2 linked regions of the Rhinolophus ferrumequinum genome follow. The protein of the gene in region 1 binds, or shares a complex with, the protein of each later gene. Links are inferred from orthologs where the notes say so. Each region holds a gene or a part of one and is shown on either strand. Other genes may lie near its edges.

Region 1 (11,048 bases):
TCACTAACAGTCACCATGCGGCCCCCCACGGCCAGACGAACCATGGCCCGGACATTGTCAGGATCGAGGCCTTCCACCTATGGTGGAGGAAGAAGCTGAGTGAATTCGACCTACATTCCTAGGACCAAGCTATTCACCCTTCCCTCCAATGTGCCCGACCCCTGTGCCTCCCCCAGAAAACTGTGACCCCGGAGGGCTGAACCTGGGCCTGGTCAATCTCCCTAAGCAGACTGTAACCCCTGGGGTCGGGGACGAGGCCAGATCCCCGTGTCTCCCCTACCAGACGGTGGGACTTGGACATATTTTAAGCATTTAATCCTCAGGGACTCGTGGTATGACCTTCTTTCCTTTCAGTTGGAAACTGAGGCTCAGAAAGGCCCTGAAAGTGGTTCTGAGTTACCGAATGAGGCAACAAGCCAGGCAGGCCTAAAAGACAAAGACTTCCATCCAGCCTTTCTACCCCAAACCTAATTCTGCCTCCCTCTGAATCTCACATCAATCTTCTCTGCTGCCTGTCTTGGGTTCCAGGCACATCTTGGTTTCTTACCTTCCCATAGAGGCCTCGGTGAGGGCCAGAAAGAACCATCACAGCTCCTCCAGGCACCAGGCCTTGAGGCTGATCTTCCTTATCCTTCTCTTGCTCATCTGGCCTCAGCGGGCGGTGGGGACCCGAGGGGGCCAGGGCCTGGACCTCAGTCAGGTTGGCGCCCAGCCCTAACCCTTTGGGCCTCAGTGAGTTGACACGGGGCTTCACCACTCTGCAGGGAGCACAGAATATGGGCTTGTTGGGGGATGCAATGGTCTTTAATGCCCCACTCCTCCCCTGCACCCCTGGCCAAATCCCATCCTACCAATATGTTCAATAATATATTTCCCCATCCTATGTTGGGACTGTTTTTGGCCTATAGAAATGGCAATTTCATTTGGTTCAACCTAATAACATGCTGTATATACCATCCATTACGTAGTATCCACAGTGTAACCAAATACACTAATATTTCTACAAGGGAAATCATACAAATATTCACACCAAACAGGAGAAACAGACTATAAAAAATTCAATGTCAATCCAGATCACATTTGGCTGCCAAAGGGTTTATGAAAAAAATATTTGGTTTTCAAAATTCTTTGGCGTTCAGAACTGTGAAGGGACTGTAAGTCCACGTGATGACAGCAAATGTCCAGTCAATGCTTATTTGGGTCCAGGGCCAACTATGAGTGCTTTACATGTATAATTTCACTCAATTCTCCACTGACCTAGGAAGTCCGTGCTGTTACTATCCACATTTTTCAGATGAGGAAGCTGATGCCCAGAGAAACAATCTTGCCATAAATCGGATCCCGTTACGGATTTTCAAAGGGCAAATAGGAGTTTGAAGCAGTAGTGGAAGAGACTGCTGAATTGGTTAGGATGGTAATGTGCCCTTCCCGTGCCGGGATGGTTCTGGGGGGGCAGTAACCGCAGGGGTCTTGTCCATTGCCTTGTCTACTGTCCCCTTACCCCTACCCCAGAACTCACTGATTGAAGGTACGGCCGATGCCCTGGCCGGGTTTCCAGCCCATGCCCCGCAGCATGGCCAGCCCGTAGGCCTCCACAGGGACTGCCTCGTAATTGGCCTCCTCCGGCACCTACACGTTCAGGCAGAGGAAGGGTGGTCAGGCTTTGCGCATGGTGGGTCCTCAGAAGTGCATTTGCTACTTCCCACTGAGATCCTCACTGCTTCTTTTCCAGTCAGTTCAAGGGTAACTTTTGATTTCCCCTCACCATCCCTCACTTTACTCCTCCACTTCAGTCTTTCAACAGATATTTACAAAGCACCTGTTCTGTGCCAGGTACTGTTCTAGGTGCTAGGGAGAAAGCAGTAAACAAAACAGACATAAACACCTGCTCTTCTGGAGCTTACATTCCAGTTGCGGGACACACAATAAATAAAATACATAAAACAGGATATGTCAGGTGGTAATAAATTATGTGAAGGAAAATAAAGCAGGTTAAGGAGCTGCAGAAGGATGGAGAAGGGAGTGTCACTGAGTTGATATTTGAGCAGAGACCAGAGGAGATGACAGAGAAAGCCATGAGGATGTGAGAAGGAAAAGTGTTCCAAGCAGAGAGAACAGTAAGAGCAAAGGTACTGAAGCAGGACAAGATCTGGTATGTCTGAAAAATATGAGGAAAGTCAACCTGACTGAACTAGAGATATGGATGTAGAGAGGGGTGGTAAGAGATTAATTAGGAGAGCTGGGCAGGAGCCACAAGGGAGACCATTGAGACAGTAACTGCAGCAGTCCAATGCCAGTAGTGATGCTAGTGGCTCAGACCAGCACAGTGGTAGTGGCGACGGGGAGAACTGTTCCGATTTTAGAGGTATTTTGAAAAGGAATATGATAGGATTCTGCTGAAAGATTGTATTGTGGTATGAAATAAAGAGGTGCGTCAAAGGTGGGTGCTAAGGTTTTTAGGCTGAGTAAGAGAAAGGATGGCTGTAAATGTGATCAACTGAGACGTGGAAAGCTGAGCAAGGAGGAAAACTGAGAGAAATGAGGCCAAAGCTGGAAGAGGATGGAGAGTGAAAGTCTTTTTTTCTTTTGTATGATGAAAGAAACCAGAGGACATCTGAAGGCTAATAAGAAAGTTCAGTCAAAAGAGATGGTGGTCTGGGGCTGTAGGAAAGTCAGGCTCCAAAGCACTGCAAAAAACAAACTGTGAATGAAGAGGTGAAAAGAGGGTCCATGGGTATGAAAGACAGACTTGGTTACTTATGTAGACACACCCGTTACCTCCCATCATCACTCCCGCAGTTCTTTATATTCGCTCCAGATACACCATAAATTGCCTCACTGTCGGACACGCACCACATTGATTTCCTGCCATCATGCCATGGTCTGGGTCATTGCTGCCATTAGGAGTACTCACCCTGCTCTCCCTTTTCTCACTAAACCCTACCTGTCCTTCCAGGCCTCACTCCTACCACTCTGGTTTCAGTCTCCATCACTACTGGTCACCTTGCTTCCACCTCTGCTTACTTAGTCTGTTCTGTTCACAGCAGCCAGAGAAATCCTGTCAAAACATAAGTCGTGTCCTTTCTCTGCTCAGAGCCCTCTCCTCACTCTCATCTCATTCAGACTAAAATCCACGTCCTCACCACAGCCCACAAGGCCCTGCCTAGTTCAGCCTTCCCACTGATGAGCTCATCTACGACCCCTCCCTCTCCCTCATTCCACTTCGGTCACATCAGTCCCCTTGGTGTTCCTCAAACACTCCAAAGGATGGAAGGACGGGTAAGTAGTATGCATCATCACACACACACACACACACACACACACACACACACACACACACTTCTCCTGCTGTGTGCAGGGAGGCAAGCCTGTCAGACAGGGAAAAGAGAGGCTGGGAGAGGAGGGGGGCGAGGGGCCAGCTCACTGTCTCAGCCTGGGGTTCACTGTCTGTGCCTTCCCCGTTGGGAGTGCATCCTTTCTGGATCATGGGGATAGCGAGCGTGGGGTCAACACCTGCATTCTCGCTCTCCTCCAGAGACTTCTTGGATTCTAAGGAAGAATGGGAGCAATGAGGTTCCACCCTTCCCTTCCATTTTCCTCCTGTTCTTCCTTTACTGGGGCAAGGCAAATGGGGGATCACTCACCCTCAATGAGCTCCTTCACAGCCTGGGACAGCACCCCATCCCCCATGGCCTCAATATCTGTGGATGGCCCCGGGGCCTGGGTTGGTGGCTGCCTGCGATGGCCATACTGGATCAAGGGGATGACGAGTTCCTTGGGGGCTTCTGAGGGCTTTACACTAATGTGAACACAGAAGGGTGAAGTTGGGAGAGTAGTATGGTCAGTGGGTTGAGCCACACCCCTTCATTCAGAGAAAACACAAGAGCCAAGCTCACCCCAAGTCCCATGGACAGCGCCCTCGGTTCTGTCTGGCTCTCCTGTTAGGTCTCTCATGGTACTTTCTTTGGATTCTCTCCTCCACCCCCAACTCCTAATTGTGCCTTTGGGGAATCAGTCCTCAGTCGATGGCTTCCACAATGACCCACAAATCACTATATTCAGCCTGTATTCTCTCCCCAGCTCCAGGCTCCACACCTGCCTCCTTGGCTGGTTGATTTTTTTCTGGAAATCCCTCCCTCAGACTCTCCTTTCCGGATTAAGCTGACGAAGGCATCCTCCAACCTGAATCTGTCGCTCCATCCCGTTTCCCCGTATCAGAGAAGCCCCACCGCATCAGTTGAGACATTAGGGGTCCTGTAATTCTCTCCTCTTTTCCTTCTCTCAGAACGCACACATCTCAGGGTTCCTAAATCCTAAAGACACTCCCTCTCAGGAATCCATCCTCTCTTGTCAATCCCCACGGCCATCAGGCTCAATTTCTCCACCTGTCCTACAAACTCCCGCCTTCTCGCCTCCACGAATTTCCTCTGGCGGTATTCAGGCTTTCCAGGTCACTGTCACCGAGACAATCAACTCAGATTGCACCCTCCCACTTGCACCCAGCGCACCGACTTCCAAGGGATGAACGACTCGGCGCTTCACCTCTGCAACTCCCTCCCTTCCACGGTCTTCAAGAAATCCTTCTCCTCCGGGGCCGCACCCGCGCCGTCTCCTGGGCCCGCCAGCCGTCTCCGGGCGGACGTGCGACTAAAGCTGAACGAAATCGGGGCAGTGGAGGCTCCCGCCGGCCGCAAAACACCTTCTTCCGCATCCGCCATCTTGCCCCTCTTCCCAGGCTGGTGAGCTGCTTGCTGGGAAGGTTAGTTTGGGCTCGGGTTGCCCGGGACCTGACAACTAGCGCTAGAACTACCTACCTTCCCACAAAATACTGCGGCATCGACAGGTGAAAGCGGGCGGTGGGAAGCAATTGTCGCCCTTTTTACTTCATAGGCGCGCGTCGCGCTAAGCATATAGGGAAATGTAGTTCTTCAGGGAGGTAGGCGTGGTAGGAGGCTGATTCATTCTTAGCAGATATTCAGTACTTCGTGTAGGCGTTTGACAAGTATTTATTGATCGCGTACTGTGTACACGTTACTGTGCCCTACTGGTGTGAGAAGTGTAGGCAAGATAAATCATTTAAGAAAAAGTGTGAATGCCAGTCGTGTACAATAAAAAATAATAATAGAGCCATGTAAATGGTGCCTACCGATACCAGATTTAATACTGGACAAGCTCTGGATTCAACTATTAATAAAAAATGCACCTCCTCCTTTCTAGAGGCTCATAGTGCAGTGGGGAGCAATGACACTTAAACAAATATTTAAAAAATATTTCCTATCAACATTAAATATGTTGTGAGACCCAGATCCTAAGTCTTCAAAAGATTAATTAGACAGGTTCCCCTTGTGTATGACCTTAAGAGTTAGTAAAGTAGAAGACTGTTACTTAAACAAATAGTCACAAGAAAGAATACTACAAATATACAAAAAATTCATCCCAAAGAAATCATTGAAGATGTGCAAAAGGATTTTTATATGAGATTCATCATACTATTATTGTAGCAAGATCTTGAAGACCTCTTAAATGAACAACAGAAGAGGATGAGGCAAAAAGAATTATAGTACATGTCTTGGATGGAAATCATATACTTGAGCCTTTAAATGTGAAGCTATAAATATAATGAAATGAAATGGAAATGTTTGGAAAGTAGAATCTTATGGTGGGGTCAGAGGATTGTCTTGAAAACAGGAAGCCCATTATTTGATCAATCTCGTGGCCATGTTTCCAGGCTTAGAATCCCTAGGCATCCTGGAAAGGGCCCTGGAATCTCGAGAGAGAAGCCACTGTGGTTTTCAAAATATACAACAACAAACATCTTTTAATTTTTATTTTGAAATAATTTTAGAATTAAAAATAGTAAGAGAGTTCCTGTATATTCTTCATCCACATCCACCTACAGGATAGTTAACAAGATTATGTGCTCTCTTGAGGGTGGTTACACTTCAGGGGTCTGAAAAAGAGACATTTCAAAGGTGTATTAACTTAGATGCACAGAAACAATGGATGGGGCTTGCTTAAGGCCAAGATAAACCTTTTACTAAAGAAGTTATATGCCTGGGATGAGACTACCCACCATAACCTACCCAATTAGGAATTTATGATCAATCACCATATGAGGTTACTTTTGATTAGATTTATTACAGTGCCCCTCCCTTTTTTGTCCAAAAGGGCTTTGTGAGCAATTAAGAGGAGGCAGGTATCTCCATGATAGCAACAAGCAAAACAGGAAAGAAACAGCTAAGGAGAGCCCATCTAAGGGGTTACTTCAGAGCAAGCTGCAAAGACTACCCTCAAAGCTTACCTACCCCATACAAAAGGCCTGACTTTAATTGGATAAAACTATGGAACAAATTATGCCCTACGGCATTGTCAAAAATTAGTTTAGATTAACAGCTGGGTATGGTATCAATATAGGCATACCAACCAGAAATTAAACTAGGAGATCAGGGAAAGAAACAAAGAGAGCCTGGATAAAAGTAAGGTCATTTCAGTGTGTCTGTGCTCATGCCTAAGGCTGAACCCTCTGAAGAGGTTCGTGAGGCAGAAATAGATTTGACTAAATTAGTATAATCAAGTCACTAAACAAACAAGCAAACAACAACAAAAATGGGCAGATCAGTACCTAGAGTTGCTACAATGTTATATAAAATGTCCAGTTTTCAACAACGAATTATGTGACATGCAAAGAAACAAAAAGATGTGACCCATATGTGGGGTGGGGTGGGGAAAAGGAAACAGAAACTGCCTGTTAGAGGGCCCAAATGCTGGACCTAGCAGATAAAGATTTCAAAGTGGTTATTATACATTTGTTCAAAGAAGTAAAAGAAATCATGTATAAAGACTTAAGGGAAGGTATGATACTGTGTTTCCCCAAAATATGAGCTAGCCGGACAATCAGCTCTAAAGAGCCTTTTGGAGCAAAAATTAATATAAGACCCGGTATTATATTATATTATATTATATTATATTATATTACATTACGTTATATTATATTGTATTATATTATACCGGGTCTTATATTATAGTAAAATAAGACCAGGTCTTATGTTAATTCTTGCTCCAAAAGACGCACGAGAGCTGATTGTCCAGCTAGGTCTTATTTTCGGGGAAACACGGTATGTAACAGTATTTCATCAAATAGAAAATGTCAATAAAGAAATAAAATTACCAAAAAAAAAATGACCAAATGGAAATCCCAGAGTTGAAAAGTACAATAACCAAAATGAAAATATTTCACCAGAAGGGCCAATAGTAGATTTGAACTGGCAGAAAAAAATAATCAGTGAACTAGAAGAGAGATCAATACAGATTATGCAATCTGAAGAACAGACAGTAAAAGGAATCAAGAAAAACGAACACAGCATCAGAGAAATATGGGACACCATTAGGTTCACTGACATATGTGCAATGGGAGTATCAGAAGAAGTGGATACAGGGCCAGCCCGGTGGCTCAGGCGGTTAGAGCTCCATGCTCCTAACTCCGAAGGCTGCCGGTTCGATTCCCACATGGGCCAGTGGGCTCTCGACCACAAGGTTGCCAGTTCAATCCCTCGACTCCCGCAAGGGATGGTGGGCTGCGCCCCCTGCAACTAGCAACAGCAACTGGACCTGGAGCTGAGCTGCGCCCTCCACAACTAAGACTAAAAGGACAATAACTTGAAGCTGAATGACACCCTCCACAACTAAGATTGAAAGGACAACAACCTGACTTGGAAAAAAAGAAAGTCCTGGAAGTACACACTGTTCCCCAATAAAGTCCTGTTCCCCTTCCCCAATAAAAAAAATAAATAAGTGAAAAAAAAAGAAGTGGAGACAGAGAGAGGAGCAGAAAAATTATTCTAAGAAATAATAGCTAAAAACATTCTAAATTTGGTTAATGAACTTTTAATCCACATGTTCAAGAAGCTTAATGAACTCCAAATAGGATAAATGCAAAGAGATTAATACCCAGACATATCATAGTCAAAATGTCAAAATCCAAAGAGAAAACATTGCAAGCACAAATGTAATTGCAGAACAAGCTCAAAATGGTCCTATCCTGTTCAAGGAGATACTGAGTTGCTTTTCAGAGACTACAGACCAAGACTGCAAGTCGTGCAGTCAGGGCATGTGCAGAGGAGAGAACTTTAGCCTCCAGCTGCACCTGGAACCAAAGTCTTGTCCCCCAACTCATGGAATCAAAGAACCAGGACATAACCGGAACTTGAACACCGGAACACTTTCAGAAGCCAAGGGCCCATTGTCCAGGAAGATCCGGTGTTGATGCCCCTTTACCATCAATGATCAAGATCCAAGGTCCTCCAATTAAAACTTGCCCCATCAGAACTTCCACATACCTGTTCCCCCTTGCCCCTTAAAAACCATTGGCCTGGTCCAGCGAGCAAGATGGCATTGAAGCACCACGAGGTTTTCCATCTTCTCATTTGGGCGCCTTCTCAATCAATAAACCTTTCCTTACTCCAAACTCTATGATGTTTTGAGTTTTGTCCAAGCATCAGGCACACGGATTTCGGTCTGGTAACCAATGAGAAAAATCACTCTTTACATACAAGGTAACCCCAGTAACATTATAAGCTGATTTACTATCAGAAGCAATGGGTTCAGTAGACAGCTAAAATCATTCTTAATGTGAAAGTTTGAATAGTTTCTATCCAAGATCAGAAACAAAACAACAATGCTGCTCTTGCTACTTCTATTTAATATTGTCCTTGAAGTTCTAATCAGGAAAGATAGACAAGAAAAAAGAAATTAAAGGTATCCAAATAGGAAAGGAAGAAGTAAAACCATCTCTATTGCAGATGACATTCTATAGAAAATTCTAGGAATCCACTAAAAAGCTATCAGAACTAATAAGCAAGTTTGGCAAGGTTACAGGATTGATCAGTATACAAAAATCAATTGTATTTCTATAAGCAAAATAAAAATGAAATTAAGAAAATAATTCCATTTACAAAAGCCTTAAAATAATAAAATACCTAGAAATAAATTTAACAAAAGAAGTGTAACAAATGTACTGTGAAAACTACAAAACATTGTTGAAAGAAATTACAGAAGACCTAAATAAATGGAGAGACATCCAACATTGACTTGTGCTAGATTCTCAGGCTGACCCTGTCCATTGCTCTCCTGCAGCTCCCATCCTATTAAGCTATCCTCTCCCTCCCCAAGGTTCCTTAAGCAAGTCTCCAGCTCATGGAGTTTTTAAGCTCCTCAAAAAACCCAAGGTATTTCACAACTTACTGTATTTGCCATGCTGGGAACTCCGAGTGGGAAGCAAGGGGGCCTTCCATGACAGGAGATTTTCCGTGACATTACTGTCTTTTTTATTTTTGACATTACTGTCTTTACAGTCCAACATGCTACCTGCTGGGGGATGGCAGAGGCTATGAAACCTGTTTAGTGAATCTCCATAGAAGCCACGTAGGTCCCGCCCCCTAATTTAACGATCTAGCTTTCATCTCTTTGAACTTACGTCGGGCTTTGACCACCATTTAACTACCTAGGCAGTGTCCTTTCAAGGCTTTGCCCACAGAAATAACTGTCTTTATCCCGCCTTCTTAAATAATAATCCTGGGACCGGCTACTTGAATCATCCTCCAGACCTTCCTACTTCCCTCTAAACACGCAGACCCTGCCCCTCAAATAACACCCTAGGCCCATCCGGGAGGGCGCACTCTCCAGGATTCGACTCCTGAACATTCCAGGCGCCACCCTCTAATTAGCCTACACACCTCAGCCATTCCCGACATTTCGAGCCCCGCCCACAATGCATTTATAGGGCCCACCCTCTAGACACCATTCCAGTCCCACCCCTTAGCTAAGTGGCGGCCACCAACACGCTCCAGGCCCCGCCTCCTCAGAAATGCCATTCTAAGCCTCGCTGACCTCGCTGGGGATAACCATCCATCCTCGAACCCTCATCTAATCTTCCAACACTCACCTACGGTACTGCAATAACCCTCCCAGGGTCACCTCCTAGAGGAATAAGCTAGCATAACCCCAAGGCCCCGCCCCCCGAGTCTCCCTCCGAGCCCCGCTCCCCTAACTCACACCTGCCACCTCAGAACTCAGCTGTACTCCAACCCCGCCCCCGGGGGAGGCCCCGCCCCCGACACTCACCGTCCTTGGGGAGCAGGCGCAATGTGGCGCCCGCCTTGCGTACCAGTACCGCCACGTCCGCCGCAGCTCTGGCCGCCAGGGGTCGCGCATCCAGCCGCGCCAGGAGCCGCCAGGCTCTGGGGCTCGCCCGCTGGGGAGGGCGGCGGCCTGGGAGGGGGGAAAAGAACCGGTCAACACCCACCCCGAGCCTCGGCGAACCCCCACACTCCCCGACGTCCGAAGACTAGAATGCCCCTAGAACTCCCAGAGCCCCGACCACTCCCTCCATAGTCCCAGGGGTCGCCGACTGTCCCTGTCATCTCCCGCGACCCCCAACCATCGCGGGTACGCGCGTGGACCCCCGCCGGCCCCCACGATATCCCTAGAGACAGCTCTTTGACCGCAGTATTCCTGGACACTCCGAACACTCTTGTGACTATCTCTGGACGTCTCCGACTGCCCCCTCATAACCTCCTATTCCAAACTCTTAACCCCGCAATATCGAGAGGGACCCCGATTCCCCCAGATGTCCCAAGAGAACACGGTCTGACCCCCTGTGGCCCTGAGACCCTCGACTCCCCCTCCAGATACCCTAGGCAACCTTGGTGGCCCACGTAGCCCCAACTGCCCCTCCACTTATCCCTAGAGGCCCCCGCCTAAGCCCCCGCAATTCACCAGAGACCGTGAGTGCCCAGGTGTCCCCAGTGACCCCGGGCAGACCTCTCCGGCACATCTCCGGAGACCCCTGAGAGCCCCCGAAGCCGGTGCGCGGCCCTGCGGCGCGGGTGTGGGTGCGGGTAGCGGGCCACGAGCCCAGCCGGGGTCGCTGGGTCCATACCCGCCGCCGCCGCCGCCGCCGCCGCCGCCGCCGCCGCCGCCGCCGCTCGGGCACCAGGCCTGCCTTGTTTACCACCTGTCGGAAGGCAACTGGAAGGAGCAGACAGGCGGGG
Region 2 (10,137 bases), on another chromosome or scaffold:
TAATACATTTTTGTGTGTTGTTTATAATCAATATAACACTTCTTTCACCTATATTTCAACATATCTGATCTTCTATCACTACGGGAATAAAGCAGTAGATTTGGACTTCAGAGTTAAGGGAGCTAGATTTAAGTCAGAGTTCTACTATGGTGAACATTTACTAGGCAAATCACTTGGCTTTCCTGAGCTTGTCTTCTCACCTGGCAAATAGGGACATTAATACCTGTCCTGTCCTCCTCACAGGATTGTTGGGAGCCATCAGCCAATAGCAGATGTACTATGCAAACTGTCAGGAAACAGATGTGGCCAACATATATGCAGCTAAGAAACAGATGTGGCCAACCAGGCATTCTCAATTATGTTTCCGTTTAACCCTCATAATAGTCCCGTGAGGTAGGCAGAAACTGAGGCCCAGAAAGTGGCTTGCTACAGGTCAAACACCTGGTATGTGACCGTGTCAGGATTCAAACTCTGGATTCTTGACACCACGTTCAATGCTCTGTACAAATATCAGTGATCATTCAAAGGGCAGTTAGGCTAACACTCCCTAAGGCTAGTGTCAGTGGTGAGGGGTACGGGTTCTTCTGCACATACTGTACACAAAACTTAGTACCCCTAACTACCTGAGGCGTTAGCTTCTGCTCACCCTTGAGTTTCTTCCCACAAATGTATACCCACCGATACTGAAAGACCGCGTGCTGCTTTGAACACGAGGGGTGATCGATTGGAATGTCGGCGATGCGGCGGTGGCGCCCCAGCAGGTAGGCGCTCTGACGATGGATGTACATGACTGGAAGCACCTCATCGTTTTTAAAGGGGTAGAGACGCCACCGTTTTTTGGGGATCCGTGCTTCTGGGGGCTCGCTATATTTAATGACTACACCCCGGAAGGTGTTGGTGTCCTCAAGAAGTGCCCCAGAAAGTTCAAAGCTTGGCTTTTCCTTCGCGGGCACCTCTTTATCTTTGTTGTTGCCACCAGTTCGAGGAACCAGCTCCTGAGACTCATTACTGCTGGCAGTAACTTCATTCTTCTGGCGATGCTCCCGCCGTCGGGCGTTATAAAACTCCCGCTCTGCTTCCTGAGGCTGTAGGTTCTGAAGGTTTCGGTCCCGGCCCTGAGCCTGCCCACTCCCAGGCCTCTCGTTAGACGTTAGCCTCTGGTGGGAATGGCCCCTGTGCCTGTCTCGGTCACTGTTCCTGGCTCGCCTGTGTTCCTGTCCTGATGCTTCCCGGTGCTGCCGATCCTCCCGTCCTCTCCGGGGAGGATGATCCTCCCGTTCCTGAAATTCAAACCCATTCAGGAAATCAAAGGCAGTTCACAGCCTATGAACAAGCCGCATTCAAAAGGAATGTGATTTGGGCTTTGGCCTTCAAGAGCAAAATGTCGCCCAGAAATAAGGTTATCAGTGGTGGTGATGTACCTGTCCAAGGTCACACTGTGTACCCCATGCTGAAGCCCAGCTATAGCTCTAACAGTGCAAGCCCATGTTCAGTGCCCTAGAAACAAGAGCACCTGCAGGCAAACTTATAGGGGAGCATATACAGAAGAGAGAGCTAACAGAGAGTCATGTACAAGATAAATACGTAAAGAAAAACAAGCTAGCTTTCTCTTATGCCAAAAATGAAAATGTAATAGTAATTTTAAATTATTTCAACAGTAACAAAAGTCATTTCATACCCAGGAATACACTTAAGAAATATGTAAGATCTGATGTGACAAAATTATAGAAATGGACAACAGAAGTTGCCAATTGAGGGGTATAAGTGGGAAAGTAGTGGGTGTGACTGTAAAAGGACAACAAAGGATCCTGTGGTGGTGATGAAAATGTTTTATATCTTGACAGCGTTGATGTCAATATTCTGGTTGTGATATTGCACTCTAATTCTGTACAATACTCATTGGGAGAAACAGGATACAGACTATACGCCATTATTACTTTTACAGCTGTATGTGAATTAATAATTATTTCAAAATAAAAAGTTTAACAAGACAAGCAGAAAAACCCCCACCCAGTTTTGAGAAAAGCCCATTGCAGGTACAGGTGAACACACACACAACACTCCAGCTATGACGGAAAGAGGCTCCAGATTTGGACCCAGTATCACAATAGCTCAATCCACTTACCAGCTTCACTTTGACTGTTGAGTGGTGAGGACTTCGGCTTCTGTTACTTCGAGGAGACTTGCTTCTTCTCCCTGAGGACTTTTTCTTTTTGGCTGGGGATCTTAAGAGAATGAGACACACAGGATTTTATCTCAATGTCCCTTCCCCATATAAATTACCTTCCGATATCAGGCTTACTACTACACAAATACCACATTTTTGAAGGTCTCTGCTTTTCACACTGTAGGAGTTAGGAGCTTCACTTTCCTAGCCCTAACCTCTCCCAAGTTCCAGACCCACAGACATAACCGCTTACCAAACCCTCTCACTTACCATGTTTCCCTGAAAATAAGACCTAGCTGGACAATCAGCTCTAATGCGTCTTTTGGAGCAAAAATTAATATACCCGGTATTACATTATATTATTATATTAATTATACTATATTATAATACCTGGTCTCATATTATAGTAAAATAAGACTGGTCTTATATTAATTTTTGCTCCAAAAGATGCATTAGAGTTGATTGTCCGGCTAGATCTTATTTTCGGGGAAACACGGTATATATGTAACATAACTCTTGATTACCAACCCTTCAAAAACCTTTCCTTTTTGCCATCTCAGTAAATAGCATCACCATCCACCCCGCTACTCAAGCCAAAAACAAGAAGTCAACCTTGATTCTTTTTTTTCTCACCACCAACAGCTTCCCACACCCGTCCCTGCAATCACATTCAATCCATCAACAAGTCCTCTGGCTCTGTCTCCTCTCTCTCCCACCTCATTCCAACCACTCTCCTTGATCGCTACACTGGATTTTTTTCTATTCCTAGAACAATCACAATTAATTCCACTTCAGGTTCTTGGCACCTATTGTCTTCTCTGCCTGGATCTTCCCAAGGCTGGATTACGGATTAGTCTTACTCAGGTCTCAGCGCAAATGGCACCTTTTCAGAGCTGCCTTCTCCCACTTCCCTCCAATCTCTATCGCATTACTGTTTTAATCTATCCCTAATACTTGTTACTAACTAAAACTATTTTCTTCATTTGCTAGTTATTTTGTCTCAGGGCTAGAGCATGTTAATTCTGAGAAGGTAATGACCATCTACCTTGTTCACCCTTGTGGCCCCAGTACCTAGGGCACATAATAGGTACTCAGTAAAACTATGTTGAATGAATAAATGAAGGAGTCTAGCAAGAGACTTTTTCCCCCCAGAAGTTCTATCAGGTAGATCTCCTAGGCCTTCCATACGGAAATCTTTGGGGCCAGGTTAAATGTAAAGACAACACTCGCACTCCATGTGCAGGCAGGTGGGGAAAACCTTTCATTTCAACTTAAACGATCCGCTGGCTCATACTCGGCGAAGCGCTGAGCACACAGAGATGAAAGGGCAGGATCCCGTCCATTGGGTGCTTAACACCCAGCTACAACACAGGTTGACAGGTAAACAGTAACACAAGCACCACCCCGATCTCTTTCACACCTTAGAATTAAGTGCAAGCCGCTGCGCTCAGCGTTCAAGGTGTGTTTCTGACGCTAGCTCGGTCCCCCTTTCTCAACGAGCCCGACCTAAGGTCCACTCCAGGCTGCTTCCCACTTACCGACTACGTGCTCGGGCTCGGTTCCCGCGGTGACCAGGACGTCCCGGCTCGCCGGCCGGTGGGGACGCACTACCGCCGGAGGAGTCCGGACGGCGGTGGACGGGAGGAGCGGCCTCCGGGCTGAGGCGCTCCTGCTTCACCACCACCGCCGCCGTCGCCGCCACTATGTCCTCGTCCCGGTGCTTTCGCCGGTTCCCCCTCTCTCGCTCGCTCTTCACGTCCTTCATGCTGAGATATCCGAGGAGCGTAGGAAAAACTACGTCCGTTGCACTGCTCTCGCTAAAGGAAATGACGGGCTAGACGCCTGGACTTCCGCTTCTGCGGTGTACGCTCTCCCAGAAACCCTCGCGAGGGAGAAGCCAAACACGTGACAAGGACGCTCTTGTGGGCGGGGCTGTAGTGAGGCGACTCGGGTGGCGGGAGTTTTGTTTCCAAAGCCAACCTCTCGGAAAAAGCTAGTCTCGAGGCTATTTGTCGTCGCATCATTAGTAATTATTAAACACGGTGACCACCTAAATGCCCATCAGTAGGGAGTTGTTTAGCCAATTGATGGATGTTATATTGCCACTCACAATGCTATTTACAAACTCTATATGACAAAAGGAAAAAACCCTGACTTGTTAAACGACAGAAGCGGGATACAAAATTGTGCGCAAACTGTGCTTACATTTACGTTTGGAAATACGAAGGAAATGAAATCATATATGGTAGCCCGTGGGCAAATCATTAGTATTTTCCCCTCTAGTTTTGAACTTTCTGTTACGTTGTCATTTCTCCATTTAATTAGAAACAAATACTTTTTAAAACCTGAGAACTACAGATGTCTTCTGGGAACCTTCCCCAATCCTTCACTGAGAAGTCAGATGACTTCCACCTTTGCAGGTAAGAAAATTGGGGATCAGCAAAGGAGACCTGCCACCTCATTCAGGTTGAGAGCTACACGTGGCGCAGGAACCGAAACCCCTGTTTTTCTTTCTCCCAAGAGTGCCGGAGCGATTCGGTGAGCAGGAGGCCTGACGAGCTAACCGCAGAACTTTTCGTGAAAGCCATGCAGAAAAAAAATGGAGCTCTGCTGGCCCCGCCCAACTTCGAAGCCCCGCCCAGGCCGTGAGACTGGGAGAGGAGGTTTCCATGGTGACGGTAAACAAGGCCCAGCCTGGAGGGGCCGCTGCTGGGCTGCTTACTACTCCAGTTGCCGCCATGATCCCTCCCGCGGACTCTCTGCTCAAGTATGACACCCCGGTGCTGGTGAGCCGGAACACGGAGAAACGGAGCCCCAAAGTAAGGACGAATCTCAGGGGACGCGGGAGCCTGGTAGCTCTGATGGGGAAATGACAGATTCTAGCCTACAGGATAGGGAGTCCAGAGGGACAGAGGCTGAAACGACTGGGAGTGAAGGGAACTGGGATGGGTGAAGGATGGGTGAGGGAGAGAGGTACAAGAAGCCCAAATGTTGGGCGACTCCAGAGGGCAGATTTAGAATGGGGAAGTCACAGGGAGATGAATGGGGTTCACTCTTTTTCATGGTAGCCGGGTCCAAGAATAGATCTGGTAGTGATTGCCCCATTACTAGAGGTGTGAAAGCAGAGGCCCGAGCACCGTGCCAGAAACATCTGTTCAAGGAGATACAAGCATTGGGTTGGGGTGAGACCAGAGACTCTACACCGCCTCCTGCAGCTCTGAGACATAACTTCTGTTGAGAAGACAAATGGGAAAATGAGCTGGGAATAGGGGAGGGGTGTGCTGGAGACCTGGAGCAATCCAGAGTGCCAGGACCTGCGGAGCTCAGTGTCTGAATCACCTCCTGTCTTAACTTGTTCCTTCTTCTCAGGCTCGGCCACTGAAAATCAGCCCCCAGCAACCTGGACCCTCAGGTCCAGTCCCACAACCACCAAAGACCAAGCTCCCCACAACTTCCTGTATCCCAGATCCTACAAAGCAAGCAGAAGAAATCTTGAATGCCATCCTGCCTCCAAGGTAAAAAAGGAGGAACAGTGGCTGGGAGAAGGCCCAGGCTTTTCCACCCCTGAACATGGGACTGTGGAAAGAGGAACCCTGTCTCTGTTCCTGGTTGGAATTTCCTCCCACCATCCTAGAGCTCCTGGTGCTTGCAGGTGGCTGGATCTTGGAAGGGTGGTGGGGAGATCTCAATCTGCCCTCACTTCCTGAGTGCTCTCACTCAGGCTCGTGGCTTTAACTACCATCTATATGCTGATGGCTCCCAAATGTGTATTTCCAGCTCTGCCCTCTCCCCTAAACTCCATATATTCTACTACAACCTCATTACCTCCATGAAGATGCTAGTAGATATCTCAAACTCAACGTGTCCAGACGTAATCACAATTTCTTCTTCCCCCAACCTGCTCATTCCCAGTCTTCTCCTTTCTACTAGAGGCTCAGGTCACCTCTCATTCCTTTCGGTCTTTTACATTACAATGTCCTATCCTTCATCAAGTTCCTTTGGCTCCACAAATCTGACCACTTCACCACTTCTACTTCTACCGTCTTGTTCCTAGTCATTGTTAGTCACCTGCACTACTGCAGAGGCCTTCCTATCTGAAAACCCGGCTCCACTCTGCCCCTACAATCTATTCTTAGCACAGTCCCGAAATCATAAGGCAGATCACGCCAGGCGTCTGCCAGAAACTCCTTAATGGCTCCCCATCTCACTCAGACTGAGACCCAGAGTCCTTACCGTGACCTGGAAGACCTCGCGTGATCTGGCCCCTGATGTACCCATGATCTTATCTCTTATTCTCCTTCTGTTCACGGTGCTAATGCCACAGGGGCCTCGGCTCAGTGTCTCTGAAACACTTCACTCTTCCACCTCAGGGCCTTGACAACTGCTGTTCTTCTCACTGCCAAAGATACTCTCCACATGATAGCCACCTGGTTGCCTTCTTTCTTCACTCAGGTCTTGCTCAAATGTCGTTTCCTCACGGAGGCCTTCCTTGAGAATTCTTATAAAAGAGTACCTTCTCTCTTCTTCTTTACTCGGCTTCTTTTTTCTGTAGCCTCATTTATCACTATCTGACATGTTTTTCTACTATTTTTACGTAATAAGTTGACAGTTTTTTTTGTTTTTTTGTTTATTTGATTTTTAAGTCTATGATGAAAAGAGACTGCAATCTCCTCAGAGATAGAAGTCAAAGAAGGGGGAGGGGGTGATTTCTCAGTAAATTACTTCCCAGCAAGCAATGCATGAAAGTCCTCTCCCCCATGGTGGTTCTGCCCTTGGGCTCCCCCCTTAGGATTCCAGAATGGGGCCATGCCTCTTGACACGAGGTTTAGTATAGGGAGGGCTACATGCCTTCAAGAATTTCTCCATTCCCCAATCCACACGTTGGCCTCTTTCTGACTGGCACAAGGTTTATGGTGCCCCGTGTCTCCCACCCCACAAATCAGGGGGCAGTTCCTTCTGGGCCTTCTGTTCAGATTAAGCAACAACCACCAATTTGCCCTCTACACATTAGGAGGGTAAGATCTGGAACATGGGTGATGATTTCACAGTGGGAGAGTAGAGATTGCCCAGCCCCAAGGTAGGGGACCTGTGGAGGCAGCTTAATGGACATGGCTTTGGAGCCACACATTCCCCAAGGAAGAAAGGGGGACAGAGTTGCCCTTCACTCCTGCTCAGGCAGAGAGCTCAAACGGCCATCTCACTCGTGTCCTGAGGACCGTCTCTGGTCAATGGGTTTCGCTCAGCCTGGCTGTGTCTGTGCCACAGGGAGTGGGTAGAAGACACGCAGCTATGGATCCAGCAGGTGTCCAGCACCCCCAGCACCAGGATGGATGTCGTACATCTCCAGGAGCAGCTGGACCTGAAGCTGCAACAGCGGCAGGCCAGGGAGACTGGCATATGCCCTGTCCGCAGGGAGCTTTACTCGCAGTGTTTTGGTGAGTGGCCTGAGGACTGGGGGAGGGTACACTACATTCTGCTGTCTCCTTCCCTTCCCCTCCAGCACAGCCCCATGCCCTGAGGATCCCCGAGCTGAAGCTCCCCCATACGACAAAGCAAGGATGAAAATCTGTCTTTCTACCTGCCCCACCCAGGAACTGCTAAATACACCCTCTTCCCCCTCCCAGCCCCGCCTCTCCTACCCACTTGCCAGTCAACCTGGTTCCTGACAACCTGGTGCCTCACCTCTTAGCAGATGTTTGGAGTAAATGAGAACTTCCATTTTAAGTCTTTGTTTTTTCAAAGATTTCTATAATAAGTATGTATTAATTTTTTTCATCAGAAAGTTTTACGTTCTATATTTATATCCATCCATCAACATTCAGCCTTTGGTCCAGAAAAATATTTCAGGGTAATTTGTTAACTGACCGACACAGGGATTTACGATCTCCCTCCCCAAGTGCTGGTGTGACATGGCTGTCCCCCAGCCCAGTCTCACTGGCCCATGTGGACTCTGACATGCAAACTGCGTCCAGTTTGCACGTGTCTGTGCCACCCTGCTGCCTGAGTATGATGATGGTTTGCCCTCCAGCCCAGCAATTATGGAGGAGATGGGTGGACAAGCTGTTTCCAGCCCTAAACCAGTCCAGCCAGGGAGGCACATTGGATTTTTCGGCTGCTTTAAAGCAGCCACCATCTTCAAATTGAAAAGTCAGATTTCTATGAATAGTACCCTGTTCTTGGCTGAAGATGGAAGAGAGGAGCCTCACGGCTGCAAACAAACCTGGGGCTCCTGTCTCCCTCTGCCCTGGGCTTGCCGACTGCCTGTACTCCCAAGTGCCAAGTTCAGAGCACTGGCTGCACGGCACGGCTCCTGGGGCCACTTGAAGGCCCCTCCCCAGATGTGTCTTCAAGTGAGGAGGACACACCCTAAGCACTCGTCCCAGTAGGAAGGGTGGCTTGCAGTAGACCTGGTGCATTTCCCCTCCCGCCTGCCTTCTCTGACCTCCCTGTGTGTGCGTGCATTGGAAGATGAGCTGATCCGTGAGGTCACCATCAACTGTGTGGAGAGAGGCCTGCTGCTGCTGCGAGTCCGCGATGAGATCCGCATGACCATCGCTGCATACCAGACCTTGTATGAGAGCAGCGTGGCGTTCGGCATGAGGAAGGCGCTGCAGGCCGAGCAGGGGAAGTCAGACATGGAGAGGAAAGTGAGTGGGTTTACCGCCCTCTGGAACTCTTCTGTCTGTCTTAGGCCATGTGGTTGTCATTCTGACCCCCTAGGGTGCACTCCCATCACCTCAGTGAGCACCCCTTGGTGCAGAGTGTAAGGGCCAGCCTGGCCATTGCCCTGAGAAGGGCCCGTTGTCTCCTCTTGGACGAGCCGTGCCAGTCACTGACCTCCCACTGGGTGGCAGTACAGACCCTGGCAATGTCTTGGGTTGGACAGCCGTGTTCCAGGTCCCCTCCGCCCGGGCACTCAAGACACCCCATCCACTTGGCGACATCCCAGGACGACTGGGGGTTCTGTCTTTAGATTGCAGAATTAGAAATGGAAAAGAGAGATTTGGAGAGGCAAGTGAATGAGCAGAAAGCAAAATGTGAGGCCACCGAGAAGCGGGAGAGTGAGAGGAGACAAGTGGAGGAGAAGAAGCACAACGAGGATATTCAGTTCCTAAAGCGGACGAATCAGCAGCTGAAGGTAATCCTCGCACAGGCCCAGGTGGAGGTGCTCTCCTACCTGTCCTCCCGGCCACACGGGCCAAGCATTTGGTTCCTTTTCCTCCAGACGACTTGAAATACTTGTCCACATGTGCTGCCAAGGAGTACAAGCAGCTGACTCTTGTGGGGCTTGGGGGTGGGTGAGGGTCCATTACCCAGATTCTCCATCCATCTGGCTCTGGAGGGGACCCTGCTCCCAACTCTGAATCACCACGACACCTCAGCCTGGCTCTCCAGGCGAGAGAATTTGTTTCCCCTTGGAAAAAAGCTGACCGTCCTCCGGAGAGGTGGATATGGGCAAAGTGGAACTTCATTCCCACGGCAGCCGGTGATTTGGAGCCTTGTATACTTTTCTTCACCTGAGCTGAAGGGAAGGCGGGGCCAGGTTTCTGAAACTCCAGGCTCTCTCTCTGCTCCAAAGGTTCTTATAGGTTGGGTTCCAGACCAGCATCATCATCACCTGGCAACTTTTAGGAACAGAGATTATTGGGCCCACCCCAGGTCTATTGAATCAGAAACGGGTTGGGGCCCAATAATCCGTTCTAGCAAGGTCTCCAGGTGATTCTGATGCTTGCTAACCACTATTCCAGATACAGCGCCCGTTGACATTTAGTGGCTGTCTCCCATGGCCCTGGCCAGAAGGGCCCCCTGGATTTTTCTCCCTCTTCTCCCTAGTCTCATAGAAACCTTCCATTCTTGTGACTGGCAGACTTGTTGGCACTACAAACCAAGAAGGCCAGGCACTTGATAAAGAAGGGCTAGTGGAGGATGACATAGGTTTTCTTGTTGCTGATCTTAACAAAAACAAAGAA

What was found.
Region 2: GPKOW (region 1) and SNIP1 share a complex: the UniProt entries of both Homo sapiens proteins name them as parts of the minor spliceosome. The link is inferred for Rhinolophus ferrumequinum from reciprocal best matches to the Homo sapiens genes GPKOW and SNIP1.

Annotation. Positions count from the first base shown.
Region 1 is NC_046284.1:85,589,562-85,600,609, reverse strand, and holds the start of GPKOW (G-patch domain and KOW motifs-containing protein), read right to left. Parts: upstream 4,907-11,048; 5' UTR 4,838-4,906; coding exon of another isoform or gene 4,815-4,837; 5' UTR 4,719-4,814; coding exon 4,543-4,718; intron 3,800-4,542; coding exon 3,645-3,799; intron 3,550-3,644; coding exon 3,425-3,549; intron 1,630-3,424; coding exon 1,520-1,629; intron 759-1,519; coding exon 548-758; intron 78-547; coding exon 1-77. Other genes in the region: uncharacterized protein LOC117016622, read right to left, coding at 5,943-5,950, 9,241-9,366, 10,120-10,266, 10,774-11,048. UniProt on the Homo sapiens protein: RNA-binding protein involved in pre-mRNA splicing. As a component of the minor spliceosome, involved in the splicing of U12-type introns in pre-mRNAs.
Region 2 is NC_046292.1:26,221,973-26,232,109, forward strand, and holds the start of SNIP1 (smad nuclear-interacting protein 1), read right to left. Parts: upstream 4,017-10,137; 5' UTR 3,933-4,016; coding exon 3,706-3,932; intron 2,226-3,705; coding exon 2,126-2,225; intron 1,281-2,125; coding exon 679-1,280; intron 1-678. Other genes in the region: DNALI1 (axonemal dynein light intermediate polypeptide 1), read left to right, coding at 4,906-4,986, 5,537-5,682, 7,433-7,602, 8,636-8,814, 9,141-9,305. UniProt on the Homo sapiens protein: Required for pre-mRNA splicing as component of the spliceosome. As a component of the minor spliceosome, involved in the splicing of U12-type introns in pre-mRNAs. Down-regulates NF-kappa-B signaling by competing with RELA for CREBBP/EP300 binding.